Linked DNA regions of Cricetulus griseus. The protein of the gene in region 1 purifies or fractionates together with the protein of each later gene. This does not show direct contact. Links are inferred from orthologs where the notes say so. Each region holds a gene or a part of one and is shown in the gene's direction. Other genes may lie near its edges.

What was found.
Region 2: the proteins of Rela (region 1) and Rnf182 purify together in Homo sapiens (affinity purification with western blotting; 3 studies listed by BioGRID). This does not show direct contact. The link is inferred for Cricetulus griseus from reciprocal best matches to the Homo sapiens genes RELA and RNF182.
Region 3: the proteins of Rela (region 1) and Kpna3 purify together in Homo sapiens (affinity purification with mass spectrometry; 4 studies listed by BioGRID and IntAct, with this or other methods). This does not show direct contact. The link is inferred for Cricetulus griseus from reciprocal best matches to the Homo sapiens genes RELA and KPNA3.
Region 4: the proteins of Rela (region 1) and Cul2 purify together in Homo sapiens (affinity purification with western blotting; 3 studies listed by BioGRID and IntAct, with this or other methods). This does not show direct contact. The link is inferred for Cricetulus griseus from reciprocal best matches to the Homo sapiens genes RELA and CUL2.
Region 5: the proteins of Rela (region 1) and Hdac3 purify together in Homo sapiens (affinity purification with western blotting; 3 studies listed by BioGRID and IntAct, with this or other methods). This does not show direct contact. The link is inferred for Cricetulus griseus from reciprocal best matches to the Homo sapiens genes RELA and HDAC3.
Region 6: the proteins of Rela (region 1) and nuclear fragile X mental retardation-interacting protein 2 purify together in Homo sapiens (affinity purification with mass spectrometry; 3 studies listed by BioGRID and IntAct, counting the BioPlex papers as one, with this or other methods). This does not show direct contact. The link is inferred for Cricetulus griseus from reciprocal best matches to the Homo sapiens genes RELA and NUFIP2.
Region 7: the proteins of Rela (region 1) and Sp1 purify together in Homo sapiens (affinity purification with western blotting; 7 studies listed by BioGRID and IntAct, with this or other methods). This does not show direct contact. The link is inferred for Cricetulus griseus from reciprocal best matches to the Homo sapiens genes RELA and SP1.

Annotation. Positions count from the first base shown.
Region 1 is NC_048596.1:53,704,257-53,707,916, reverse strand, and holds part of Rela (transcription factor p65), read left to right. Parts: intron 1-567; coding exon 568-672; intron 673-851; coding exon 852-1,064; intron 1,065-3,660. UniProt on the Homo sapiens protein: NF-kappa-B is a pleiotropic transcription factor present in almost all cell types and is the endpoint of a series of signal transduction events that are initiated by a vast array of stimuli related to many biological processes such as inflammation, immunity, differentiation, cell growth, tumorigenesis and apoptosis.
Region 2 is NC_048596.1:263,371,442-263,375,529, forward strand, and holds the start of Rnf182 (E3 ubiquitin-protein ligase RNF182), read left to right. Parts: upstream 1-1,220; 5' UTR 1,221-1,424; coding exon 1,425-2,168; 3' UTR 2,169-4,088. UniProt on the Homo sapiens protein: E3 ubiquitin-protein ligase that mediates the ubiquitination of ATP6V0C and targets it to degradation via the ubiquitin-proteasome pathway.
Region 3 is NW_023276807.1:216,452,621-216,456,817, reverse strand, and holds the start of Kpna3 (importin subunit alpha-4), read left to right. Parts: upstream 1-1,276; 5' UTR 1,277-1,324; coding exon 1,325-1,639; intron 1,640-4,197. UniProt on the Homo sapiens protein: Functions in nuclear protein import as an adapter protein for nuclear receptor KPNB1. Binds specifically and directly to substrates containing either a simple or bipartite NLS motif.
Region 4 is NC_048596.1:210,685,054-210,689,450, reverse strand, and holds the start of Cul2 (cullin-2), read left to right. Parts: upstream 1-1,551; 5' UTR 1,552-1,707; intron 1,708-1,770; exon of another isoform or gene 1,771-1,934; intron 1,935-2,335; exon of another isoform or gene 2,336-2,490; intron 2,491-4,397.
Region 5 is NC_048595.1:199,688,441-199,692,597, forward strand, and holds the start of Hdac3 (histone deacetylase 3), read left to right. Parts: upstream 1-1,211; 5' UTR 1,212-1,317; coding exon 1,318-1,372; intron 1,373-1,467; coding exon 1,468-1,550; intron 1,551-3,694; coding exon 3,695-3,837; intron 3,838-4,157. UniProt on the Homo sapiens protein: Histone deacetylase that catalyzes the deacetylation of lysine residues on the N-terminal part of the core histones (H2A, H2B, H3 and H4), and some other non-histone substrates.
Region 6 is NC_048600.1:91,081,640-91,086,008, forward strand, and holds the start of nuclear fragile X mental retardation-interacting protein 2, read left to right. Parts: upstream 1-1,459; 5' UTR 1,460-1,554; coding exon 1,555-1,861; intron 1,862-4,369. UniProt on the Homo sapiens protein: Binds RNA.
Region 7 is NC_048595.1:398,798,487-398,802,146, forward strand, and holds part of Sp1 (transcription factor Sp1), read left to right. Parts: intron 1-1,809; coding exon 1,810-1,978; intron 1,979-3,660. UniProt on the Homo sapiens protein: Transcription factor that can activate or repress transcription in response to physiological and pathological stimuli.

The DNA of each region.
Region 1 (3,660 bases):
TGCCAGGAACTGTGCTCATGACTTTAGGAAGCAAACTCCCAGGAACCAGATAATGCTAGGCAGTGATAATTCCACAGTAGCAGCTCACAGGAAGCTCTCAGATGACCTGGGCTGACACTGATGGATTAGTAAGCAGCAGGGCAATTGAAAATAAAAGGCCTTTGGAGCCCCAAGGACCGGAAACCAGGATTAACTGGGAGTGAGGAGGGAAAGACTCATTGCCAAGGGTAGAGATGAACCAAAAGCTGAAAATGTGTTTGATCAGGCAGAGGGAGACAAGGTGTCAGATTGTTTCCTTTGGGCTGTAAGGTCTGTGAGGACAGGAATACGTTGGGCTCTTTGTTGCTCTGCTGCCTTTTCTAGAGCCATGCTCCACACACACAGCAGGAGGTGTTTTTGAATTGGTTGAGGTGAAGAGCAGATGGGATTAGTCTGCAGAAGTGTTGTCAGCAAGCTGTGGAAGGAAGACCTTGACATGGGACTTGCCAGGCATCGCTGTTACATCTCCTGTCGGGTGCCCTGGAGACCTGTGGTGGCTCAGGGTTTCCATCCATGTCACATCCTCAGGTGCACCCAACACTGCTGAGCTCAAGATCTGCCGAGTAAACCGGAACTCCGGGAGCTGCCTTGGTGGGGATGAGATCTTCTTGCTGTGTGACAAAGTGCAGAAAGGTACACACTGGGCTATGTGTGCCACGAGGGGCGGGGTGAGGCTGAGAGGGTGATGAGTGCCAGGGACCTCAGTGGCTTCAGGAGAAACAGGGTGACGTCTCAGGGGAAAAGCATCAGGAGTTGGGGACCAAGGTCCATTGGAATTCAGATACTAACCCTTACTACTCTGTCTCCTGCAGAAGACATCGAGGTGTATTTCACTGGACCAGGCTGGGAAGCACGAGGCTCCTTTTCTCAAGCTGATGTGCACCGGCAAGTGGCTATTGTGTTCCGGACTCCTCCATACGCTGACCCCAGCCTGCAGGCTCCTGTGCGTGTCTCCATGCAGCTTCGGCGGCCTTCTGATCGGGAGCTCAGTGAGCCCATGGAGTTCCAGTACCTGCCAGACACAGGTGTGATGCTAGGGAGAGCAGTACCAAGGCTTCTGTACCCCAGCTGGGAAAAAGACCAGGATGTCTGGGACAAGCACATAGGATTTATACATACTGTAGTTCATTGCACATAGTATTTCTGTCAAAGACCACATATGCCATGGTGGTCATATAACACTGCGCTATCTAGCTGGGCAGTGGTGGCTCACCCTTAATCCCAGCTCTCAGAAGGCAGAGGGAAATGAATCTATGAGTTCGAGCCCAGCCTGGTCTATAGAGCTAGCTCCAGAATAGCCAAGGCTACACAGAGAAACTCTGACCTGGGGGAGGGGGGTGAGGAACTACACTGTCTAATGACATAGGTGTCTTAGTTTGTGTAAGTAATCTTTGAGATGCTCATATAAACAAAGAGAGAGAGAGAGAGAGAGAGAGAGAGAGAGAGAGAGAGAGAGAGAAAGAAAACCAGGGCTGGAGAGGTGTCTCAGAGGTTAAGGGCACTCTTTGCTCTTCCAGAGGTCCTGAGTTCAATTCCCAGCACCCACACACATGGTTGCTCACAATCATCTATAGTTGGATCTGGTGCCCTCTTCTGGCATAGGTCCTATGTGCAGATATAGCACTCATATTCATAAAATAAATCTTTAAATTTCAAGAAAAATAAAAAAAAAGGTAAAACCAGCACCTGGGAGGCAGAGGCTAGCAGATGGATCTCTGTGAGTTCTAGGCCAGCCTGGTCTACAAAGTGAGTGCCAGGATAGGCTCCAAAGCTACACAGAGAAACACTGTCTTGAAAAACAAAACAAACCAAACAAAAAAGATGAAAAAGATGCTCATATAATAAGCTGGGTACTCCAGCAAACGTGTGTAGCTAGCGTGCAGATGGTGTGGAAATAGACGGACCTCTAGAGCTATTTGGCCAGCCAGCCTTGCTCCAGATTCAGTGAGAGGTACTGTCTCAAAAAATGAAGTGGGCTGGACATGGCAGTGCACACCTTTAATCCCAGCACTTGGGAGGCAAAGACAGGCAGATCTCTGTGAGTTCAAGGCCAGCCTGGTCTACCTTACAAGTTCCAGACCAGCCAGGGCTATATAGTGAGATCGTATCTCAAATAATTAAGGTGGATGGGGCTGGAAAGATGGCTCAGTGGTTAAGAGCACTTGCTGTTCTTCCAGAGAACCCAGGCTTCATTCCCAGCACCCTGTCTAGTTCCACGGGATCTGACACTATTCTGAACTCTGCAGGCACTGGGCATGTACAAGGTGCTCACACATATAAGCAGGCATTGAGCCTTGGCTTTGACATACTCATACACACATCTGTACACACATGCATGCACATTCATACACCTACATGAACACACACACACAGACACACACACAGAGGTAATAATAAAATGGATATTCATCCAATGACAAATTTGCCTAGCAACATGTCTTAAGATGTGTCCCCATTGTTTTTTTTTTTTGAGGGGGGTGTTTGAGACAGGGTTTCTCTGTGGCTTTGGAGGCTGTCCTGGAACTAGCACTTGTAGACTAGGCTGGTCTCGAACTCAGAGATCCACCTGCCTCTGCCTCCTGAGTGCTGGGATTAGAGGCGTGCGCCACCGCCACCACCACCACTGCCAGGCTGTGCCCCCATTGTCAAGCAACATATAATTATAGTCATAATCTATTTCTTCCCTAACTCTGACATCCAACTTATTCAGCTCTGTCTACTGTATCTACCCTTCCTATGAGTGGTCCTTTTAACCTCTCATCGCCTTTTTTGTTTTTGTTTTTGTTTTTTTTTTTTTTTTTTTTTTTGGTTTTTTGAGACAGTGTTTCTGCTCTGAAGACCAGGCTGGCCTCACAGAGATCCGCCTGCCTCTGCCTCCTGAGTGCTGGGATTAAAGGCCTGTGCCACCAATGCCTGGCGTATCATCACCTTTTTAGGGGAATGATTTAACAGAATTCACTAGCAGTAGAGGCAGTGGCACACCTAAACCAAGGTCACTTAGCTTTGTGGACTTTGTGCCACCTTGTGTCTCTTATCACTTTTGGGGGACCAAAATAGTTCCATTATAGAATGTTTTGAGGTCCAGCCTCTGGTTTCACGGAAAGCTCCGGCCCACTATTGTATTGCTAATGCTAGCAGGTCTGCTATTGTTTACAATAGCCTTAGTATAGAATGCCTCCTAGTTTGCATCTCTATGGGCCTAAGCATCTGAATAGGCCTGCATCTGGGCCTAGGTGCTAGGTGTAAGGTACAAGTGAGGACAGACAGGAGCCATCCGACCAGAGAGGAGAACAGAAGGACAGCAGTGGTCTCCTCGTGGCCATGGAAGCATGGTTAAGAAACAGCCAAAAAGATGGTAAATAGAGAAGAGACTCCAGTTTTACAACATGGAACTGAGAGCTCTCTAAAGATGACAAGATGCCTGTGTTTGGTCTTTATCGAGGCTGGGTTGCTAGGAGTTTCCAGGTCCACACATCCCCACTCAGGCCGAACCTCATGGCTTAAGGCTGAGACATGCCAGGTCACCACAGTCACTAATCCTATAACCCAGCTTCATTTTGCTCAAGGATTAGTGCTATACATAACAAAACAAATGAGACAGGAGCTGGAGAGATGGTTCAG
Region 2 (4,088 bases), about 210 Mb from region 1:
AGTACAGCATATTTCAAGACAGATCTACCACCCCAAATATCACACAAATTAAAGCTAATGGGATGGTCTGGAGATTTCCCACACTGCTGCTCGTCTTCACTGCTGCTCAATATAGACGACTCATTGTGCATACGAATAAACCTCTGCCCTTTGTCCAAAGCTAGTGCCAGTGATGTCACTGTTGCTAGTATCAGGCCTGCAGGATGCACTGTGCCTTCTGCCTATTACAGATAGAATTTACATGGCACACAGTAGGTGGGATGGCAACATGAGTATTTCCTGATAGTTACCCAGGAATGACTTTTCCTATGTTCATGGTGTGTGTGTGTAATTGTTTGTGTTTCCTGTGTTTGCTTCACTTTCTTAGGCATTGGATGTGTTTATCGGGCTTATGTCAGAGGTTTTATGTTTTATTTCACTTTGTGTAGATGTGGATGCACAAGATTGGCATTGAAACAAAAATTTAATCAAATAGTCAAACACTAAGGGCATTTGCAAAATAGATAAAGAAGTAAAAAACCATCTGTTTCATTTACAGACGCTCTTATCTCTAGGAAAACACTTCCTGAAAACCTGTCCTTAATACTTCGCCTTAAGACTCTGTGCTTGGGAAGCTGGGCATGATGGGGCATGGCCCCCAATCCCAAGATTTGTGAGCCTGAGTCATGTGGTTACTGAGTTCAATGTCAGCTTGGGCTATGTGGAAAGTTTTGGGGCCAGCCTAGGCTATATAGTGAGACTGTCTCAAGCAAGCAAGCAAGCAAACAAGCAAGCAAGCAAGCAAACAAAACAAGTTAGCAACAGCAAGAAGATTCTTAGGCGTGTTTGTGAGCACTGTGGAAGGTACTTGGCTGTTTTCTACTGTGAATAAGCCCCACTTTTCAAAGAGGCCAAAATTTGGTGCTTATTTCAGAGAGATAATCTGTCCTAGCTAGGGTAGACACCGTTGTAGAGCATGTGGCCCTGAGGTGAATGTCAGTGTACTTCACACACATTCGGGACTTAATTCCTTCTTAGGGTGTTTGTGGACTGAAGCATGGACATGACACCTTTCTGTCGCAGGGCTGGAAAGGTGAAATTGGACGGGATTTAATCTGCTAGGTCTATTGCTTCCTGGTCCTTAGAGCTCAGAGAATGCCACGAAGCAGTTCTCAGAACACCTTTTCGGTGAACTGTTTGCTCTATTACAATTTCTGTTTTTTTCTTTGCAGATCCTGCAGGTGGCCTTTTAAAATATGCACCAGAGACACAGAGTACCACGCAGGAGCTGAAAATGTTCCAAAGACTTCTGGGTTCTCTCTCCACTTTTCCCGTCTTTTCAACCCCCTTGCCTGACTTGGATGATGCGATGTTCTGAGGAATTCCTTAATCCTAGTCACTCCTCAGTCAGGCACATCTACGAAAGATTGCATCCGTAATTTAAGATGGCCAGCCAGCCACCAGAAGAGCCTGTGGAGACTCAGGTCTCAGATGAGCTAGAGTGCAAGATCTGTTACAATCGGTACAACCTGAAACAGAGGAAGCCCAAGGTTCTGGAGTGTTGTCACAGAGTTTGTGCCAAATGCCTCTATAAGATCATAGACTTTGGGGACTCTCCCCAGGGTGTCATCGTCTGTCCTTTCTGTAGGTTTGAGACGTGCCTGCCGGATGATGAAGTTAGCAGCCTGCCTGATGACAATAACATCCTTGTAAACTTGACTTGTGGAAGCAAAGGGAAGAAATGCCTGCCTGAGAATCCCACGGAGCTGCTGCTCACCCCGAAGCGGCTGGCTTCCCTGGTCAGTCCTTCCCACACATCCTCCAACTGCTTGGTTATCACCATCATGGAGGTGCAGAGGGAGAGTTCCCCATCTCTCACCTCTACACCTGTGGTAGAATTTTACAGGCCGGCAAGTTTCGACTCTGTCACCACAGTGTCCCACAACTGGACGGTGTGGAACTGCACCTCCCTACTCTTTCAGACGTCCATCCGGGTGTTAGTGTGGCTTCTAGGCTTGCTATACTTCAGCTCCTTGCCCTTAGGGATCTATTTACTGGTGTCTAAGAAAGTCACCCTTGGGGTAGTCTTTGTTAGCCTCGTTCCCTCTAGCCTTGTCATCCTTATGGTGTATGGTTTTTGCCAATGTGTTTGTCATGAATTTCTGGACTGTATGGCACTTCCTTCTTAACCAATATGCAAAATAGGAAATTTGGCACTTACGGCTACATTCAAATGATGTACGTACAATTTGCTTTCTTTTGTATTCTCTATGATTAGTGTCTACAGCCTCAACAAAGCCCTTGGCCATATGTCTGTGGTCCATTTTCTGTCCAGATGTTGGCTTGATGGGTTTTCTTGGATTCTGAACATTTTCTAAAAAGTTCATTTCTACATAGGGGTTAACCAAGAAAGCAAGGCTGTGTGCATAGCTTTTAGGGAGCTCTGACAATTGTGAGATGTCCATGAGCAAAGGTGTGGGCACAGGCAAGGTGTGTTATACCGTGGCAGGGTATTTGTGAAGAGGTAGGGATAAATGGAGTCCTCCTTCAAGTTAGGGGTATTTCATGATAATAGGTGGATGTCACAGGCAGGTTGCTCCAAAACACATAGGTATGCACCCAATTTTCTTAGCACTGGAGCCCCTAATCATCTTCAGGTGCTTTCTCTCTTAAGGCAATGCTTCTCTGAGGTCTGCTACCTGCCCTCAGATCCATTTCTCTTCTGTGCGGTGCTCCCTGACCCAGAGTCCTGCAATATCATCCCCTTGGGTGGTTCCTGCAGAATTTCCTGTTTGGGCATGTTGCTAGAGAAGAGGGACGACTTTGAGAAGTTTGCAAGGAAGTAGACCTCACGCCAGGGCATGGCCATTTATCCTTACCACAGGCCTTTTCCTTCATGTGCGGTTTTTCTCCCAGGCTTCCCAGAGAAGATCTGAGCAGTTTTGGCATGTGGAAATATTCACTGGAGTAATTCCTTATAGCATTTTAGGTTTGTTTGATTTCTAACCACATTCTTCAATCAGCCCATGCCTTATCCTGAACAAAGTTCCATTTAAATTAGTTGCTATCAGTTTATGAAGGTTTCATTTTCTTCCCCTTGTTTTAGAAATTTGCTTAGGTCTGATTTGGCTGACTCCTGCAACACTCTGGGGGAACCTGTGATGGTGAAAACCCAGCAACAGGTCGCCAGTTGCTCTAGTCCTAGGCACTGAGAACCCACGTTCTGTTGAATGGTACCAGACTGCAGTGGCTTGGGTTTATGTCCTATGGAAGTCCAGGCAAAAGAAAGGGTGAAGCCATGCCGAGTTGATGCCCTGCTTGGAGAGACAAGTCAAGGGAGTGAAGTGGAGGTGGCCAGGTATGGCTCACTTGCGGCTGTTCAGTCAGTTTGGGGATAGATTCAAGTCCTTCAGTGTATTTTCTGTAAAAGCATAAGTAAGCTACATGGCCTGAGTATGCACCCTGCTTCATGAAATGGGGTGGGGGGCATTGAATGTATATATTTGTGGGAGTAAGTTGTCTAGCAAGTTTTAGATGGGGAATAGAATGTTCACAGAAACTAGGCAAAAAGAGGGAAGAAAGCTTCTTAGTCTGAAACTCATTGCTGATACTTAACAATAAAATACCCGTAATGCTTAGTGAAGGGCTTTACCAAGACTCCGTTAACTTGTTTGTGGTGAAACATTTGTAGTGTGAAATAGTTACAGGGGACCAGTTCCAAACTCCATATTAAGGAAAACATGGATGCTTACCTAGAATAGGAGTTTTATTTTAGTTGTGTAACTACTGACTTTGAGAACATGTATGCCCAAGGTACATATACTGAGAAAGTATATGTGGGATGTGGTCCAATGAAATTTAACCCCCAACTTAGAGCTAAATGCAGTTATGATTCCAGAAACCCTAGTTTTAGGTAGTATTGTGGATGCGGTTTCCAGAATTCCATTTGTACTTTGAGTAAATACAATATTTAAGAGGTTTTGTGGTTTGGATTTATATATTTATAAGGTTTCTTTTTTAAAAGATGCTCATTTTGTGTGAATTGTAGCGTTGAGTGAGTTGGTGAGTTACCGCAGGAAGAGATTTGCAGAAGGCTCTGGACCAACGCT
Region 3 (4,197 bases), on another chromosome or scaffold:
GCTTGAAGTCTAGAGAAAAATGTAAATTAATTAAAAAAGAAAAAGAAAGAAAAGGGGGAGGGGAAGGGGTACAATTAAGATAGTTAAAAAAAATAAAATAGAGAAAAAAGAGTGCAACTTTTTGTTTTCCATGAGAAAGCACTACTGGCATCAGTAGACCGACCATACTTCAACAGGGCAAAGATGGTGTAAGACCTTTCATGGACTTGTAGTTACCAACTGACCACAACCAGTGACTCACAAAACAAATGCAGGTGACAGCTTGGCCACCAAAGGCCTTTCAGTTCCTAACTCAGACCTCAGGTTCTTCCAGATTTCTTTTGAAGATTGTCTTAACTGAATTCTTTATGGTATATTTCTACCAATCTGACCTGGCTCATTTTGATCATATGTAGTACAACTGCATACAAGCTTATATCTGCAGAAGATACAGAAACGCAATATTCTTATATATAAACCAAGTCCACCTGCCCGGGGGTGGGGTGGGTGGGTGGGGTGGGGTGGGGTGGGGTGGGGTGAATAAAAGCTGTTATTGTTCCAACCTCTCTCTGTTATTTCTTCTATGACTTTAAAGGGAGAAGGCAGGCTGGAGTCTGCAGCCCCAGGGCCTGATTACAGCCTGAAGGCTAGATTGTGTGTTAAGGTGGACTAGGAGCCATGGGGGCACAGGAAGGTAGAGCTGCCAAAGTGACGATTGCACAAGGATGCTTGGGAGAAATCAGGGCATGCTGGAACGCTATTATTTTCTTTTATCGATGAGAACTTAGTAGGTACTGTGCTGACCTGACAGATTCTTGAGACCAACAAAGTCTCTGCACTCATTGAGCTTAATAACGGTGCAGGGAGCAAGGTAGCATAAGCATAAACACACACATCACATTCACATGTATCTGTGGAGTGGAAACAAGCATGCTATTTATAACACCGAGGCAGAGCAAGAGAACAGAGTTTGAGGGTGGTTGCTATTTGAGGAGACCCCAAAGAAGCCAAAAGCGCAGAGCACGCGTGGCCGTTCTTTTTCTAATTTTCCAAGCTGTAGGGAGCAAGGTGCGCCCCCAGGAGCCCCGCCTCTCGCTCCCGATAGGCCGCAAGGTGCCATCTCCGGAGATGTCCTGCCCACCACCCCGCCCAGAGGCGGGGCTTCGAGCCCGCGCTCAGAAAGCGCCGCGCCGAAAGCGCGCGCCCAGCCCTCCCGGCATGCTTCTCGTCCTCTCATGGCGTGGCTCAGACCAGCGCCTGGCATGCTGGGAACTGTAGTTTCCGCCCGCCGCCCCGCGTCAGGGGTGGTGGTAAAAGCTGCTAGGTCGGGCTCCATTTCTAGCACATGACTAGCGGCGGTCGGGAGGCTCTACGGTGGGGTGAGGGCAGGGTCACCGCGACAGCCAGCAGGCCAGCGCCCCGGCCTCTCCCGGCGCGCGCCGCTCCTCAGCGCCGCCCCCGCGCCGCGGCCACCTCGCGCTCCGGGCGTCACGGAGCGCGCGCTCCTCCCCCTCCGTCCCCTCCCGCTCGACTCGCCGCCGCCCCGCCGCCGCCGCCGCAGGAGCAGCCGCCGCCGGAGCCGCGCGCAGCCATGGCCGAGAACCCCGGCTTGGAGAACCACCGCATCAAGAGCTTCAAGAACAAGGGCCGCGATGTGGAGGCGAGTGTGCTCCGAGTCTGGCCGGGCCGGGCGGCCGGGAGAGGAGGGGAGGGGAGGGGCGGGGGCCCGTGGCCGCTGGCTCTCGCCGGCTGGCGGTCAGTCCGGAGTTGGCCGCCGCCTCGGGGGGCGCCGCGGCCCGGGCTGCAGCCGCCTCCTGAGCGGCCAACGCGGGCACCGGGGACCGCTGGGCGCTCGGCGCCGCCGCGCGGGCGCGGCCTGCTGTCGGAGGGGAAGGGATGTGGAGCCGAGGCGGGGTCCGCGGGCCGCGCGGGAGGACGGACCGGGATGCTGCCGCCCCGCGTGCCGACCGCACCGCTGGGGCCCGGCCGGCGCTCGCGTCCTCAGCCGGTGCAGCCTCCCGCGCTGCTGCACATGGAGCCTCAGTCCCCGCGCCTACCTTGTGCGAGCCGGGCCCAGGCGGGCGGTGGCAGCCCTTAGAGGGGGGTGGGGACCAGCCGGGTAACTGACTTGTTTGAGGGTGGTGGATGGGGGAGGGTAGGATGCGCCAAGACCATTTTCTTATATTCCAGTGCTGTCCTTTGGACCAGTCTTCCCGAGCTGTTGCAGCTCATAACCCCTGTGACTGCTGGCATTTGGAGCGAGCTAAAGGTGGACAATAGTTTACCATCCATTGTGTTGAAGCTTTGGGAAGGAGATTATGCAGACCTCTGATCTTGGGTTTTTTCTTTCTTTCTTTCTTTTTTTAAAAAAAGCTCATCTTGGAGTGGGAGCGTGAATAGTAGGAAAACAATTTCTTTGACCTGTTTTGCCGAAATAAATTGCATACATAGATTCCTACGTCCTTGTGTATACCACATGCCACCAGGCTGGTAGATTTTCCAAGTGGTTGCAAAACTGTAAACATTCATTGTGGTCACTCAGTTCGCTGCTACTCAGCATGTTGCCATTGTCTCATTAAGGTGACATTAGCAGCTACTATTTGCAAACTCTGCTTATTGAGGTAGCGCTAGAGGTCTCTCTGCTCCTACTAAAACCAATGAAGTGTAATAGCACAAACTTCACTGGAACTCGACCTCTGAATTTGAGGGGGGAAGGAGTTTTAAGCCTATACCCTCTTTTCTATTCTAATAGTAGGTGATGGTTTGTATAGTCCTGTAATTTTTGGTAAGAGGCTAGTAAATACAGAGTTTGGTTTAGTAGAGAAGCAGGTGAAGCTGGGACATTTCTCAGAGCTACAAAATTAGGTATGAATTGGGAAAAACCTGGGGGAATATCTGTGGAATTCCCATTTGAGTGAGACTACAGGTCCTTTATCTCTATCCTGATCACATCTAAGTTTCCTTTTGGAGAAGTACTTCCAAACAAAAGTGAAAGCTAACAACTGGAACAGCCATCAGTCTCTATTTTTTAATAAGACTTGGTTTTTATCTTTTCTTCACCAGTAGTTTTTCTGTGTGTGTGTGTGTGTGTGAGTGTTACACCAGTAGTCTCTGTTGCTTTTTGTTGTTGTTGTTGTTGTTTGTTTCCTTTTTGAGACAGGACCTCATTGCAGAGCAGTCTGGTCAAACACACAAAATAATTCTCCTGCCTCAGTCTCCCAAGTGCTGGGATTACAGGCATGGGCTACCACACCCAGTTCCACAAGTAATTTTTCTTGAGGCTATCTTTTATTACTGTAAGCAAAACTGCATAGTTTGTGTGGATGTATTGCTCCTATTGCTTGTACATTCTTTACTTTTCTGGATGTTGGTGTAAGTTTTAGTCACAATTCACTTCTAGTATGGTGTCCTATTTGTTTAATGATACCTAATAAGGACTTTTTCATGGAATAGATCCACAGCAGGTACTTGCATGAAAAGAACAGTATAGTTGCCAAGCCATTGATTTTGTTCACAACATTACATTTTAAGGACATGTTAGGATAACTAAGACATGAAACAACAGGCATTCAGATGGTAGTTCTTTGTGTCAGACACTATGTTGTACCAAAAGTTTGCTACCTCATTTAATCCTTACTAGTTAGGTGTGACATTGTCTTTACTTTATCAGGGAAAAAAGTACTTTGACACAGAATGTCAGCATCCATGTAATGTGCTGGTCATGTCTGAGCATTCATTTTCTAAATGACTATTAGGTGCCTATAATGCTCAGCCTTCTTCATACAAAAGGACCTAAGATTCAGTTTGGCTTGAGCTTATAGTCAGTGTGTGAGAAAAACCTACACTGGATCAGGAGTGTTGACTTCCAAACAGCAGTGAGATCTGTTGATTCCTAATAGATGAATGGGGATGAACTGATCCTGAAGAGTCAGAGAAGTCTGGGCGCACATTCAGTAATTCCAGCACTTGGAACTGGGAGGCAGAGTGTTAGGAGGTCAAGGTCATCTTGGGCTACATGATACCCTACCTAAAAAATAAGTGAATGAAGGGTTGTAGTTGGGGAAGGGTAAGGGCCGGAGAAGGTGGGAGGCATTTGGAATTTTATTAAGTATTAATTGAAAAGTCCCAGTTTATGCAGTCAGCTGGTAAACAAGGAAAATAAGAAGGCAACCTTACTTATGTGAAGGGTTGTGAGTGAGTGGACAGGGTTGTAAAGAG
Region 4 (4,397 bases), about 160 Mb from region 1:
GTACTGCCTGTTTAGTCTAGGGTCTACTGAAAAAGTCTTTAGGAAATTCCAGAGGTCCTGACATTGCATTCTAAGGATTTCTGGATGAGAGAGGCCAGTCTGGGCTGTGTTAGACCTTGTCTCAAAAAACAAAAACAAGTAAGTACAAATTCAAGTGCTATGAGAAGAGAGATTGGTAGAATTTATTGTGTCTGGAAATAAGATTTAATTTTGAGAAAGGGGTTTTAGGTATAGCCTGGGGGTGACCACGGATTGGATTTCCTATCCTCCTGTCTCAGCCTCCTAAATACTGGGATTACAAAGTGAGATCACCATACCTGCGTTGAGGATAAGATTTTAAATGAACTTTAAAGAATTGGCACAGTTGGAAGAGGCTGGGAAGAAAAAGTTTATTCAAAGGTAAAATCCCTAGCCACTGTATCTTCTTCACTATAGGAAAGGCAATTAAATAACAAAAGACAGGGGCTGGAGAGATAGCTTAGCAATTGGGAGGTCCTGAGTTCAATTCCCAGAAATTACAAGGTGACTCACAACCTTCAGTAATGAGATCTGGTGCCTTCTTCTGACCTGCAGGCATATATGCAAACAGAACACTGTATACATAATAAATAAATCTTTAAAAAAATAACAAAGGTGAGTATCCCTCATTCAAATTTGTATTTCTTTTCTTTCTTTTCTTTTTTTTTTTTTTTTCTTTTTTTTTTTTTTGAGACTGGGTTTCTCGATCCTGCCTCTACCTCCACCTGCCTCCTGAGTGCTGGGATTAAAGGCGTGCACCACCAACGCCCGGCATCATTTAGATTCTTGTAGTATCTAAAGCTTGTATTTCAAAGAAGTTTAGCTATATTTAGCTCAGCCAGGCGTTGGTGGCTCACGCCTTTAATCCTTTGCAAGACTGAGGCAGGCGGCTCTCTACAGAGCAAGTTCTAGGACAGGCTCCAAAACAATACAGAGAAACCCTGTTTCCAACAACAACAACAACAAAAAGGAGAAAAGTAAATATTTACGTCTTTGAATTTGTCCGAGGGTAAAAACAACAGCTAGAGCTGGGTGTAGTAGCATACACTTTTAATCCCAACACTCCAGAGGCAGAGGCTGGCGGATCTCTGAGTTTGAGTCCAGCTTGGTTTACAGAGTGAGTTCCAGTACAAGCTCCAAAGTTACATAGAGAAACCCTAGGCAGGAGTGGTGGCTTAATGGCGAGGTTGAGATGGAAGATTGCTAGTTCAATGCCAGCTCAAGCTGTAAAAGGAGTGCCAGGCCTGCAAGAGTCACCTAGCTAGATCCAGTCTCAAAAACCACAAAACCACATACAAATAAAACAAAGAGAAACCCTCTCCCTGTTGTAATTTGGATATCAATAGTCCCCAAATTTGGTGGGTACTGCACCCATTGAGCTCAGGGAACTGCGATGGCCTCATTGACAAGTATGCAGGGCGATGAATTACTTTGACAATTGATTGCAAGGGCTTCGCGATTCTCGAAGCGTGGCTCCCTGCGCTTGCCGTAACCTGGACTGGACCATTGCATCCTGCGGGTGTGTGAGTGCAAGAGGCTGGGAGAGCAGAGCGGAGGGCGTGTGTCGGGCAAAGCCCGGAGCCCTGGAGGACGACTGGCTCCCCGATCCAGCCACCTGTCCGTCCTACTCCCCTGACCCCGTCCTGTCCCGCGGCAGCGGCCTTGTCTGTACGGCTCCCTCGGGAGCAGGTGAGTGGCGGCGCCTTGCTCCGGGCACCCCCGTGGCCCCGGGGCGGTGGCGGTGGCCGGCCGGGGAGGCGGCCTCGGCGCACAGTAATGGCAGCGCTGTGAGCCGGGGAACGCGAGCTGACAGCCGCCGCCGCCCACCCTCAGAGCCGGGGGCTTCGTCCTTCACGCCTGCGGGTTGCCTCCCTCCCCGGGCCCCTGCCCCTGCCCTCGCCCTGCTTCCGCAGAAGGTAACCCCGCTGAGAGCTGGGGAGCCCGGCTGTGGGCGCAGGGAAACTTCCCTTCCCGGCGAATGGGTGGCGGGGATGGGGCGGAGGAACGGAGTTAGGGGCGACCTGGCGGAGGGGAGCGGGCTGAGAGCTGGAGGCCCGGCAAGATGGTGTCCTGTGAGTGACCTCGGTCCCTCGACTGCTGACCCTTAAGCCAGGCAACCCTTGGATCGGATCCCGGGCCTCCCCGATCCGCTGCCGGCCGCCCCTCCCTCGGCCTCATTTTCCTCCTAAGGAGGGAAGGTGAAAGTGTGCTCTCCCGCTTATTTACGTGAGCACACGGAGACCACAGTCTCTGTGGAAGGGGGTGGCATCAATCTCATAGATCCTAGCCACGAGTATTTTCACTTTTGTTTCCGCAGATAGTGAAGATTGATAGCTTTGGGGAGGAGTAGTCTACGTGCATGCTGCACCTCCTGCCTCAACACTCATGGGCTGGTGAAATAAGAGCCTCAGACTCTCTCCAGCACTTGTTTTTGTACTAGAGTCTAGACCCTTCCCTACCATTACGGTGCATGCAAGTAGAACATCTTTGAATTTCTATTGTTATTATAAGTTACCCCATGTCCTCCTTGGTTACTATTACTGGCTGGATGGTAGTGCCCTCTTAAGTTTCTATTTGAAGATAAGTTGGAGATATAGCTCAATGCTTCAGCATTTGTCTGGCATGCAAGAAGCCCTGGGTTCAACTCCAGCACCGCCTTCTGGAAAAAATTCCTGGTGTGTGTGTGTGTGTGTGTGTGTGTGTGTGTGTGTGTGTGTGTGTGTTTCCTTACTGATTTCAATAGAAAAGATACTTGCCCCAGAACTTATCTCAAACCCACATTCAAATACAGTATGAGAGATCACTTTATTCTCTTTCATCACGTGTCATTCCACGACATAAAAGTGATTTGATTAGCTGACCTTTGGCTCTTAATGCCTATATACAGTATTTGGAAGTCCCTTCCCAAAGAGTCACAAATGAATTTTAAGAATAGTGCACAGTTTTGTTTTAATTACTTTCCCTTCCCTCATGTTATTTATGAGTTGTGGGACTGTTTTGGTGATTTGGGGGGGGGTGTTGTTTTTTGTTTTCTTAATTGCTTTGTTTTTTTGAGACAGAGTCTCTCTATAATGTAGCCCCAGCTGTATGGGACTCACTGTGTAGATCAGAGTGACCTTACTGCCTCTGCAGTGCTGGGATTAAAAACATGTGCTATCACACCCAATTGTCTTTTGAGGGTTTTGTTGTATAGCCCTGACTGGTCTGGAACTCACTGTATAGCTCAGCTAACCTCACATTCCCGGAAATCCTACCTCACCAGACCCTGCTTTCTTTTACCAGGGTGTGAATGTGTAAGATTGTGTACCCATGTCTTTTCAACTTTCACCCTCAGTAATTGAGCCCCAAGTGTATGAACCTTTAAAGTTAGTTTTCCAGTGGGAAGAGCTGGTCCCTTTGCTAAGCTGCTTTTCAGGAATTAGGGATATGACTCTGAACTCTGCTTTCTTCAGAGTTCTGCCTGAGATGGAGAGACATAGTAGATAAACAAATAGGATATTGCTCCGAAGGAAAATAAGGAATTGTAGTAATTGGGAAAAGTTGTTTCAGATTGTATGTTAGGAAAGGCCTGTCTGAGGTGACATTTGACATATTTGATAAAACAGAAACTTTCTGAAGAAATGCAAATGGAAAAGCCCCAAGGTGGAGTGAAATTAGAAGTTCAATGAAGGTAGACCCTGTAAGAGAGGTTGAGCTAGAGTTTGGTTTTTAAAACATTTTAAGTTTTGGGAGTTTTATGTTCTATAGGTTGGAGAGTAGATGTCAAAAGTCACCCCCACCCAGGGTCAGAGTTGTATTCTTGGACCACTAAAAGACAAGTAACAAGGTTTCCAGCTATGTTGAAGGTACTTGTTGAACCTGTAATAGTTTGGATAAGAGTGTAGTTGGAGCCCGTTGGCGTTGATGGTGCACGCCTTTAATCCCAGCACTCGAGGTAGAGGCAGGCAGATCTCTGTGAGTTCGAGGCCAGCCTGGTCTCCAGAGCTAGTGCCAGGATAGGCAACAAAGCTAAACTGAAACCCTGTCTCGTAAAACCAAAAAAAAAAAAAAAAAAAAAAAAAAAACAGAAAGAAAGAAGAAAAGAGTGAAGTTGGAGATAGGTGTCTCTTGGGTTTTAGAGCTCTATTGGATGAGGGGTACCATCTACAGGGATGGGGAGAGAAACGTGAGTTTATATAAAATGGGTTTGTATTGGATGTCTTGAGTTGAGTCAGTTAGACAATTGTAAAATTTAGTTAGAAAGTTAAGCAGTCATACAGTTCATTCATTGATTTGAGGAGTGTTTTATGGACCCATCAACTGGGATAATGAGAGATAAGACAGATCTCTGCCTTCATGAAACATGGGGAAAGATGGGTAGAGTTTATCAGTCTTTAACT
Region 5 (4,157 bases), on another chromosome or scaffold:
ACCGCCACAGGCTGGAGGCCAGATGGCATCTACGAAAGCCCTCTGCCACGACCCAGCCCCACTTTTCTGACATCCAGACCGCTATTTTTTACAGCTCATCCCGCGCCCCCGTCCCTTCCAAGGACACTGCAGCACAAGGTGGGACGAAATTCTCAAACAGCGAGCTCAGAAAACACGCTGGAGTCAGTGTTGATACCTCCTCTACACCGGCCTGAGTCAGGCCTCGTACAGCCCCCTCCCCTCCTTGCATTCCTGGGTCCCCTCTTTTTCGTTCCTCCCACCCTGGCCACCTGGCCCACCCGGTACCGGTGGTTTGGTTCTGTCTCCCGCTCCGGTTCTGGCTCGGGTCCCGGTTCCAGGGGCGTCCTCGTCCGGCTCAGGGCCCCCGACGCCCTCCCGGAGCTCATCCCTTGCTTCCTCCCCCTCCCCCCTATGCCGCCTCACCGGCTCCGGGCTGGTGGCTGCGGATACCGGTGCCGCGGCAGACGGGGGGAGGGAAGGATGGCGGAAGATGTGGACCGGTTGGTTGGGAGCCGCGGCAGGCTCCGGACCACTCCTGCCCGGGAAATGGAGGAGATGGGGGAGCGCCTCTGAAACTGTCTTGGGTTCCCAAATGCCTATCGTGTCACGGGCCCGGGACCAAGGGGCGGAGCACAGGTGTGCGGGGCGGAGAGCGTGAGCCTTACGCGTGTGTGAACGCAAGTGAGATGTGCGCGTGACTGCGCCGCCCCCTCCCCCAGGAGGAATGTGCGGCGTGAGTCTGGGTCCTCGTGGGTGGTCGGGAGGTCAGGCGGGGCTCTGGCCACTGGTCTAGCCCTCATGTCTGGCACAGGTCCTGCCCTCACATTCCCCGGATGAGTGGAAAGCCAGCAATCTTCCTAGCGCCTGGGAAAATCTGGCTTTCTACACCTGAGAGAGGCAGGATGCCCAGACCTTCCGAGGTTCCTAGAGAGGGAACGCTGCCCCAAGACCCGTTTGGGGCTAGTGGGTGGACAGAATGACTCGGTTTCCCGAGGATATGACCCTCGTCCAGAAAGAAACGGCCCTTGTGTCCTATGAATAACGCCGCGGGTCCCGCCCAAGCACGGAGTCTCAAGCCTCAGAATCCGGACCGGGACAGCAAGGGAAGGGGCGGAGCTCCCACAAGGGGCGGGACTCCCACTAGGGGCGTGGTCTGGATGTGATCTTGGGAGGCGGGGCCGAGGGCTCTTTTCCGCAGCGGTAGGCTGCGTGCTTGCGCAGCACGCACGGCGGGGGTGGGGCTGGCGGCCGGCGGCGGTCGGGCGGCTGAGGCTCGGGGCCTGGTCCCCCAACATCATGGCCAAGACCGTGGCGTATTTCTACGACCCCGATGTGGGCAACTTCCACTACGGTAGGGCACAGAGTTGTGCGGGAGGAGAGGTTTCCCGGGAAGGGCTGCAACTCTAGGGGTGGGAACTGACCAACTCTTTCCTTCCCTATCCCCAGGAGCTGGGCACCCGATGAAGCCCCATCGCCTGGCGTTGACTCATAGCCTAGTCTTGCATTATGGTCTCTATAAGAAGATGATCGTGAGTCCTGACACTTCTGTGGGGGTTTGGGCCTGGGAGCAAGCTGCGGCCTTAGGCTAGGTGGGCTGGATATACCAGGTGCAACCTGCCGCTAGAGGGGGAGCAGGATAGAAGGCACCGTGAACGTTTCCTATATGCATGGCGGTGGTGGTGGTGGTACTGAGTCGGGGGTGTCCCCTTTCGTAATGGGACATACATTTTTGACCTTAGATGGGACTTCCTTTTAACTTGAGGGGAGACCAGCCTCTGGCCTAGGGTTAGGGCGACAGGCTCATCCCTTCACTTCATTTATTTAAGTGTTAGTGAATAGAATCCAGGGTTTCACACGTTAAGTGAGTACTTTGCCACTGAACTACACCTCTAGCCCCTCTTCTTTGTAGAGGGGATAGTGGTTCAGGACCAAGGATGAGGGTCTATTTTCTAATGACATTTCACCCATAATTCCTTCGCCTTCTCCTCCTCCATTTACCTGAAAGGAGCTAGGACAACTCTGCACTCCTTTGTGGTGTGTATGTGTAGAGAATATGGGAATTTACTTTTTTTGTCGTTGTTATTGTTGTTTTGAGACAGGGTTTCTCTGTAGCCCTGGCTTTCCTGGAACTCACTCTATATAGACCAGGCTGGTCTCTGAACTCAGATCGCCTGCCTCTGCCTCCCCAGTGCTGGGATTAAAGGTGTACACCACCACTGCCTGGCAGGAATTTACTTTTTAATATAGAATGTATCTATATGGTTCTGCTCAACTCTCCCATCTCTCATGTAGCAAGCCTGGCCCTTGTGTACCATGAAGGTATTCAACATGTCATTGGTGTGTTTAGGCGCAGGCAGTGGTTTGGGTGTACAGTAGACTGAGGTGGTATTAGTGCAAGTCTGAATCCCCTAAAATTGTCTGTGTCCATTTATCCGTTTTCTAGGAGAGGAAAAAAAGTGTTTCTTGCCCAATTTTCAAATCATTGTTTGAACTTCCACCTCTACCCCCACCGAGGATAATAAATCTTTGGTTTAGGACTTTGGATTTCAGTTAGATTGTCATATATCTCATGGATTTGATCCCATGGTGAAAAACCCAGAGAAGAGACCAGAACCTGAGTTTAAGAGAGGAGATAAGTATAGAGGGAACCAGGACTGAGGAAGCTAGGAACAGGCATGTGGGCCAGGAGAAGTGGGCTGGGAAGATAGAGACTGGGCTGAAGAGAGGAATTAGACGAAATGATCCTCAGGGGTCTTGATAAAAGTAGCTTGCCTGGCTAATAGCATCTCTTCTTCACTAAGGGATGGGGGTAGGGAGATTGTTATATATGTTTTGGACAGTCTCCATGGCTGGGTTCAGTGTAAGTGGTCTCAGCCTGGGGCTGGCATAGTAATGCCTGGGTTTATTGTTAGGTTTTGCATTCAAACTGGGCCTCCCGGCCCCCGACCCCTTCCTGGAATTCTGGAACCAGTAACAAGACCATGTGTCAAATGAACAGTGAAAGGGACTTTTATTCTTGGTCAAGAATATAAATGAGAGATAAACTTTACAACTCTTAGGAATCAAGAGGTTACAGGTATGGGGGTTAGAGTGATGATTCAGTGGGTCAAGGTACCTGGCTCCAAGCCTGGTGACCTCAGTCTGAACTCTGAAACCCACATGGTGAAAGGAGAGAATTGACATCTAAGTTATCCCTGGCTTCACTGTGGCATGCATACCTACCTACCCCCCTCCCCTGCCGCACCCCAGTGAAATAATGTAAATCAATTTTAATTAAAAAAGAATTTGTATAGAGTGAAAAAGGAGGTAAGAGAAATAGACTGATAAAGAAAAGGATTTTTTTTTTTCCCTGAGACTGGGCAGAAAATTTCTGGGAATTCAGGCACTCTTCTCTCTCTTTTTGCTTTCCAGTTGTTACCATGGCAGTTGTTCCCTGTCATGGAATTGGGAGTATCATTCAGTGTTTTGGTGGGATTATAATTAAGTGAGGTCTTGTCTAGTTGGTCACTCTGGTAGCCTTCTTGGGCTGATCCTGTTTGGCTGGCCTCCCTGAGAGGAATTTCTGCCTTATAGGCATCCTGCCTTCAAGGGTAAGATCAGGGTAGTGTAGAAATTCAGCTAGCATCTAGGCAGTGCTCAAGGTAACAACTTCACTTTTGTCTCCATTCTCCAGGTCTTCAAGCCTTACCAGGCCTCCCAGCATGACATGTGCCGCTTCCATTCTGAGGACTACATCGACTTCCTGCAGAGAGTCAGCCCCACCAATATGCAGGGTTTCACCAAGAGCCTTAATGCCTTCAACGTGGGTGATGACTGGTGAGGGAAGCACCTCGAGGCCAGGCTCTTCAATGAGGCCTTGTGGCAGCAGTAGAAGGAGCCTACTAGTCAATAAATTATCATTCACTCATTTGATTGTTCAGTAAATATGCACGCCTTTGAGCCAGCACTCAGGAGGCAGCAGCAGGCAGATCTCTGAGTTTGAGGCCAGCCTGATCTACAGAGTGAGTTCCAGGACAGTCAGGGCTACACAGAGAAACTCTATCTTGGAAAAACAAACAAACAAACAAACAAACAAAATACTTACTAGGCATTTCCTCTATGTAGGCCATGCCCTGTGCTAAGTATGAGGGATACAA
Region 6 (4,369 bases), on another chromosome or scaffold:
ACAATGGGAATGTCCTAATACTCCTGAACTATGTACTAAAAATGGTTAAGTAGGAGCTGGGTATGATGGTACATGCCTGAAATGAAGGTATTTGTAAGGTAGAAGCCAGCCTGGGTTACATAGTGAATAATACCAGGCCAGTCAGGGATACATAGTAAGACCCTGTCTCAAAATAAAACAAAACAAAACAAAAACAAAAAAACATGTTAGGATGATAAATTGCACATTTAAAATTTCCTTTATACTACATAGAGAAATATATATCTCATTTGAGCAAGTGTACTTGTAATGTAGTTTTAAGAAATAGCATATTGGCTTGGTGTGGTGGTGTAGGACTTTAATCCCAACACTCAGAAGGCAGAGGCAGGGGGATCTCTTAGTTGGAGTTCCAAGTCAATCTGGGTTACACAGACTGTTTCAAAAACAAACCAATCCAAAACAAGCAAACAACCCCTCCTGCCAAGACCCACAAAAATATATTTTGAGGATATTCTGTGTCTGTCATCACAACCCTCTTCCTACTATGAGTTGAATTAACTGCATAGAATGCAAATACATCTTTAAATTGCAATGTTTTCTGTAAATGCAAAACAAAAAGATGTAAAAATTAAAATCGTAAGAACTTTTAAAGGTGTACTTTCTCCCTTCCTTCACTCTTAAAATTCTTAATCTAAAACCTATTTTGGTTTCATAGTTGACCTTACCTGTAGTGTTTAATTAAAACAATACAAAACAAAAAAACCCTTCAGTATATATTTTTCATCCATCCCTCTTTCTTGCCTTCAACTACAAAGAAACAATGATTTAAGCCCTTTGTGCCCTTTTAGAAAATTACACAGATACCCCATTGTGGAACCCTATAATCCCTCCGTGGAAAGGAAGAGATTAGCATATGAATACAAAGCAAAATGAATCCAGAATACAAAAACGATCTATCGAGTTGTGAAGGTTTTGTATTCTTAAAATTGAATTTATTTCCTCTTTTGTATTGCCCCTTTCGTGGCCTAAGGGTTAAGGAAATTGAGCTTCCCCCTCTGCTCTGGTTACCCGGAAAAGGATTTAAAAAAAAAGAATCCAAAACCACACACACACACACACACCCCAACAGATTCTAGGAGGTGCAAAACCAACAGATGGCTCCTAGCGCCAGTAATCGTCCGTGGAATCTGCTACACTCGAAATCAGCTTGCTTGCCTGTGAGGAGTGTAGAAAGTGCTGTTCGCTAACTGCGTGGTGAAGGAGAGAAAGCGATAGAAGAGAGAGCCATAATGCTGACGTTGAAGGCCCGGCCCTGTGAGGTTGCATAGGGTAAGTGGCGTTGGCCAGGCGGCGGCGGCGAAGGGGAAGGGAAGAGGATTTGGGCTAGGGGCGGGGCTTGACGCGCAGCGTGGCTCCTGATTGCTGGAGGGCTGCTGCCAATCTTCCAGATCCGCTCGCTTAACCAGTGCGCTGGCGAGACGCGCTCAGATATACTGAGCGAGCGCTGAGAAGCAGTCTCAGATCCTGACGGTGCAGCAGCCTGCAGCCTCAGCCAGGGAGTCCCAGCCGCTTTCAATGGAGGAGAAGCCCGGCCAGCCACAGCCTCAGCACCATCACAGCCACCACCATCCGCACCATCACCCCCAGCAGCAGCAGCAGCAGCAACAGCAGCAGCAGCAGCAGCAGCAGTCGTCGCATCACCATCACCATTATTATTTCTACAACCACAGCCACAACCACCACCACCACCACCATCACCAGCAGCCTCACCAGTACCTGCAGCATGGAGCCGAGGGCAGCCCCAAGGCCCAGCCCAAGCCGCTGAAACATGAGCAGAAACACACCCTTCAGCAGCACCAGGAAACGCCGAAGAAGAAAACAGGTCTGGGAGGGAGGGCGGTGGGGGAAGGGGGGCTGGGGCTGGGGGGCCGACGAGGGGATGGGGGTGGGGCTAGATGTGAAAAGCGCGGACCCGGCCGGGGTGTGCGTCCCGCGGGGCCTGGGATGCCCCCTTTCATTCTTCCCGGGCGCGGGCCGCGAGGTGGGGATTGCAGCGCCCTCTCCTTCCCTTCAGCATGGGAGAGGCCCAAGCAGGCCAGCGTGACCTTCCCCGGCCCCCGCCCCGGCTGGAGGCAGACCTCTCTCTACGGTCGGCTTTGGAAGTCCACAACCTTATTTTTTTTCCCCCCTCCTCTTCTACGGCCCCGGAGTTGCCGGAATGTGGGGGGCCCTAAGAAGGGATCAAACTCGGCCGCCCGCAAAAAAAAAAAAAAAAATTCCCTCGAGGTGTATGTAATTCCGGCGGGCCTAGTGAATCCCGGCTCGGGTGGTGTCGCGAGACCCTCTTGCAGGCAGCGAGGAGCCGGGCTGAGGGCTGAGTTGAGGAAGCGTCCTCCCTCACCCGCCACCCAAGCCCACCTGTGGCCCTGGGGTTTGCTGTCTGGGGGGGGCGGCTGGGACCCCTTCTCCCCTCGAGTCATTTCACCCCTAAACGCCCCTTCCGGGCGCCGGACCCTGCTGTCTCTCCTCGAGGCTTCTCCGGAGGCCGGCGCCCCTGGCCCGCTCTCAGAGCCGGCGAGGCTGGAATGTTCTCTCCTCCTCGCGGGGCCGCTTCCTGTCCGCCATGTTGGAAGCCGATTCCTGTCACCGACTCGGGCCGGCTGAGGAGCGGAGGGGGGAAGGGTGCCCAAGGCCACACTGCACTCTGGGACCGAAGGCCCGGGACCCTCGGCGGCCATCGCCGGGTCCCCCGCACTGCGGGCGGCCGGCGCCCGCCGCCCCTCCCCCGCCTCGGTTTGGTGGCGGTTGGGTGGGGGAGGGAAGCGGCCACGAGGGGAGCGGCCTGCACCGTGGACCCGCGCGCCGACGGCCGCGTTTCCCGCTCCCGGGTGCGGCGGGAGGCGCGGGCGGCCCGGCCGGGCGGGGAGCCGGCCTAGAAGAGGAGCTTGAGGGGGAAGGAGGCCCGGGCGGCGGCCACGGCGTTCCGCTGGCCTTGGAGGGGCGAGGTGGGGGACTCATTTTCGGTAGAGGCGGTGCCTGAGGCCGGGTGGGGTACCCAGCGGGAACCAAGCTCCCGGGTCACGAGTTTCTCTGCCACAGGAATCTCATCTCCTGCCAGGTTCGCTCACGACTCCGCCTCAGCGGCTTTCACTTAGGCCTTTTTTCTTTCTAGCAGCGCCTTTCCTACCAAAAGAAGGGAAAACAACCTCTTAAACCTTGTTCCATCTGATTTCCACACAGCACCTAAACTTCTGGGCATGGGTAGTGGCTGCAGGGATTAGTCAAATACTTGATTTGGATGGACAACAGAGACAGTTTGGGTCCCCTATTATCTGGAAATGGCTTGTCCGTGAGGTTGGGTCAATACCATCTTACCTTGGACAATACTTTATGGTGATATTAAAGTGAAAGACATTTGCTGCATTTTAAAACCGATGTCGTTACCCAAACTGAATTTTATTTAACATGTTAAACGTAAAAGTCTTGAGGAAATACTTAAGAAATAAATGTCAAAATTTATATATTCGCAGATTAAAAGTTTATAAACTGAAGAGTAGTGAAGGGAATACTTGGAAGAAAAAATGTTAAACTCAGCATGTCATTTAAGCATTCAAGCAGTCACTGGTGAAAAACTTACTGTAGACAATGTAACTTTGAAGACAGATGCCGGATATCAGATTTTTTTTGTAAGGTGCAGTAGAAGTTAAGTGCTTAATTGTAAGGATCTAGAGCAGCCTAGAAAACTTAGGAATTATGTAACACTGCATTTTGGTTTTCAGAAAGTGGGGAAGTATTAAGGTTGTCAAATAATGGTACTTTTTAGATTTTAAATTTGTTTTATGAGGTTTATGTATTCCCCACAGGACTCATCATTTACAGTGATGCAGACCCTGAACCGTTGGAAGTGACACCCCTCAAAATATGTCTTAAGTTGGGATGAAGAATAAGGAGGGAAACTGTTGAGGGTTTGGGGGTGATCTGTCTTTCATGTATGTTTTGGTCACACAGTACTGTTGCTTCAATGGCTTTTTATGACCCATTACTCCCAAATCTTTGAGAAACTAGTTTTTTGAATCCAGAAGAGGGCACAAGAGAAGACAAAATGTGTTGAGTGGGTTGCAGTGGCAAATCCAAAGCTAGATTTGTCAGGACTCAAGTTTTGACTGAGTCCATTTGAAGTTGAGTTTGCATGGCAGCCCTAAATAAATGCTACAGATTTTTAATTTTTCAGGAATAACTACAGTCTTGACATTTTTCTTAAATGTTTAAGCTTTTAAAAATGCCTTTCATGCTTTTTGCATACCGAGGACACGGGTGGGGGGGCAAATATTATGTAGTTAAATGCAAAAAGATTTTTGACATTGAAACAACTATAGTGGCCTGTTTTGTA
Region 7 (3,660 bases), on another chromosome or scaffold:
GTTTGTGTATCAAGTGTATGCCTGCTGCCCATAGAGATCAAATCCCCTGGAACTGGAGTTACAGGCAATTGTGAGCAGTCAACATCTTTCCAGCTCCCATGCCTAGGTTTTTTTCTCCCTATGATGCCCAGTGTTTTTTTCTTTGTTTTTCTCAGAGATCTATGCTTGCTCTGTCATATATTCTCAGCCCTCCTCACATTTTTGGGGGGGAAAGGAAGGGAGAGGAGGTTTTCATTAAGTTGCCCATGTTATCTTCTGATCTCTCTGGCACCCCAAATACATGCAGTACACTCATACACATAAATGAATTAAAAATACTCTCATCAGATTGCTTGTAGACAAGTATGTAGGCCATTTTCTTGACAGGAGGACCCAGCACACTGGGGGATGGGTCTCTCCTGGATAGGTGGTCCTAGATAGTCTACCAGAATAAGCAAGCCTTGGAGATTAAGCCAATCCTGTCTCTCGGTTCTTGTATCAAGTTCCTGGCCTGATTTCCCTCATTATGGAGTATGATCTAAGAGTTGTAAGATAAGATAAACCCAGTTCCAGGACACCCTACAAAGCTATAGAGAAACCTTGTCTCGAAAATCTCAAAGAAAGGGCTGGAGAGATGGCTCAGAGGTTGAGAGCGCCAACTGCTCTTCCAGAGGTCCTGAGTTCAATTCCCAGCAACCACATGGTAGTTCTCAACCATTGGTTATGAGATCTGGTGTCCTCTTCTGGTGTGCAGATACACATGGAAGCAGAATGTTGTATACATAATAAATAAAATCTTTAAAAAAACAAAAGAATAAAAGAAACCCCCCCCCCAAAAAAATGAAATAAATCCTTTGCTTCCCAAGTTGTTTTTTTTGTCATGGTACTTATCACAGCAAGATGACAGATAAGAAACCAGAATCCCAAGTAGAATTTTTGGAAATATATGGAAACTAGCCTTCAGACTGGTAGAATGCTTGCCTACTATGTGGAGGCCCTTGGCTCAGTTCCTAGAATGGTGATTTGTTTTACAGTTACTGACATTTTAATTTCATCATGCTTTAGTAATTCCCAAGGTTTTAACTTTTAGGTCATGGCTTTACCTACACTTCTTTACTTTGAAGAAAATAAAAAGATATAACATTTATAGTTGTTTCAGAAATGGATGCTAGAGGTAACAGCTCAGTTTGCCCAAGACTGTCATTAAACTGCCTCTGGTTTCCTAGTTATTTTCATCACAGGAAGGCCAATCTTTAATTTATCTCATTGCTTAACTAGTACCATATTTTAAGATTAAACTGTTCTTTTCTAAAACTGTTATTAAAAGGGATGGGGAACAAATTCCAATATGTTGATGTCATGTTGACTTTTTTATTTGACATGGGTCTTACTCTTTAGCCAAGGTTAGTCTGGACCTACTATGTAAACTTAAACCTGTAATCACTTGGGAGTCCCTCAGGTACTTACTTGGGAGGTTGATTCAGAAGCCTAGGAGTTCAAGGACAACCTGGGCAAAGCAAGACCTTATGTCAGATTATAAAAAGAGATCTTGATGCAGTGGTGCCATATTGGCTAGTGAGATGGCTCAGCAGATAAAGGCATTCGCATCAAGGCTGATTGATAGCCTGAGATTGATTATTAGAACCCATGTGGTGGAAGAGAACTGATTTCTAAATGATGACCTCTGGCTTGGACAAGCATACTACACACACCACTCATGGAAGAAAGAACTGTAATTAAAAGTTGGTACTGTGAATGTAATATCAGTGATGTTTCTATAGCTGTTCTATCCTGTCCACTGCCACCTTTCTCCTTTTCTTTTTATTTCAGGTGATCATGGAGCTCAACTTGGCCTCCATGGATCTGGTGGTGATGGGATGCATGATGAGACAGCAGGTGGAGAAGAAGGAGAGAACAGCCCTGATCCCCAACCCCAAGCTGGTAGGAGGACTCGGCGGGAAGCATGTACATGCCCCTATTGTAAAGACAGTGAAGGAAGGTGAGTTCATTCTCTTGAATATGGAGTTTGTTTTGTTTTTGAATGTAAATAAATTAAAAATGGACTTAGAAATAAGAGGGAAAGGGCATATATATATATATATAATATTATAATATATACATATATACATATATACATATATACATACATACATACATACATATATATATATTCAAGACACAGGGAACTGGGCCTGGTGGCGCATGCTTTTAGTTCTAGCAGCACTTGGGAGGCAGAGGCAGGCCTGGTCTACAAAGTGAGTTCTGGGACAGCCAGAGCTTTACACAGACAAACCCTGTCTTTAAGAAAAAAAGCAGGTGTGTGTGTGTGTGGTTGTGGGTGTGGGTGGGTGTGGGTGGGTGTGGCGGGTAGTAGCTCCGCCGTTAAAGAGTAGGCTCACAACCAAAAAAAAAAGGAACGAAGAAACCCAAAACAACCCCCCCAACAAAAAAAACAAACAAACATTGGAGGGCTGGGTGTGTAGCTCAGTTGGTAAAGGGCTTACCTAGCATTTATGGAGTCCTGAGTTTGAATCACAGCACTTAATAAAGCAGTGTGGTCACACATGCCTGTAATTGCATGTTGTCTGGAGATGCAACACATACATGTATCTACTTAACCCCAGAGTGTATTGTATAGAGAGTGTATAAAGTGAGGGTTTTGACACCAGGTGCATTAAGTGCAGACATGACCTCTCCAAGGTATGGTTGAGGGGAAGGTTTTTATTGTAGACATGAGGAGAGTACAGTCAAAGTCCAGAGCGGAGAGAGAAAGTAGTAGACTAAACATGGCCAATAGATTGGACCCAGCCATGAGAGAGAAGCGGGGAAGAGAGTGGGAAAGGAAGATAAAATGTGAGAGGCAAGAGAGTGCATATTGGAAATGACAGGGTTATATGGGAGCGAGAAGCTTGGGAGGAAAGTGATCTGGAGAAGTATAGGGGTAGTGGTGGGGTAAGAAGAGCCAGGATGGACTCTGTAACAGGTATTTGCTATGCTGAGAGAACCTGGAGGCTAGCATGTGCTTTGATGTGCTAATGGGCATCACAGTTAGCCATTTGGACCTAAAAAGGATCCCATGACAGACCAAAGTATGGTAGCATCAAAGCCCAACTTGGTGAACCAGTGAGTTTTATTGGGATTAGTTAAAGGAATATGGGGTGAGGGGCTACTTACAGAAAAGGAGTAGAAGGCTGAGCATTGGTGGTGCATACCTTTAATCCTAGTACTCGGGAGGCAGAGGCAGGTGGATCTCTGTGAGTTTAAGACCAGCCTGGTCTATAAGAGCTAGTTCCAGGACAGCCTCCAAAGCAGTACAGAGAAACCCTGTCTCAAACCTCCCACCCCCACAAAAAAAAGAAAGAAAGAAAAGAAAAGGAGCAGAAGTGACTCAAAGACGTCTGAATCACCAAAGCCTACTCCAGCATAGATGAGTTTACAAAAGCTGAAGAACTGGAGCATGCAGGCAGCCAGTATCCCTTCTGTCCAGATCAGTTGGTCTAAGCCCCTTCAAGGCAGCTCTCTGGGCTCTTGAGAGTCTTCTCCTTGCAACTTGGCTTGTCTGAGAGTAACTCATGGCTGGCTGGCTTTATCTTTTACTCTTGGAAGGGACCTAGTGAATCTGATCAGTTTCAGGGGCTTCCTGAAACTGTTTTGAGTTGTTCATCCTCTGTTTTATGGGAG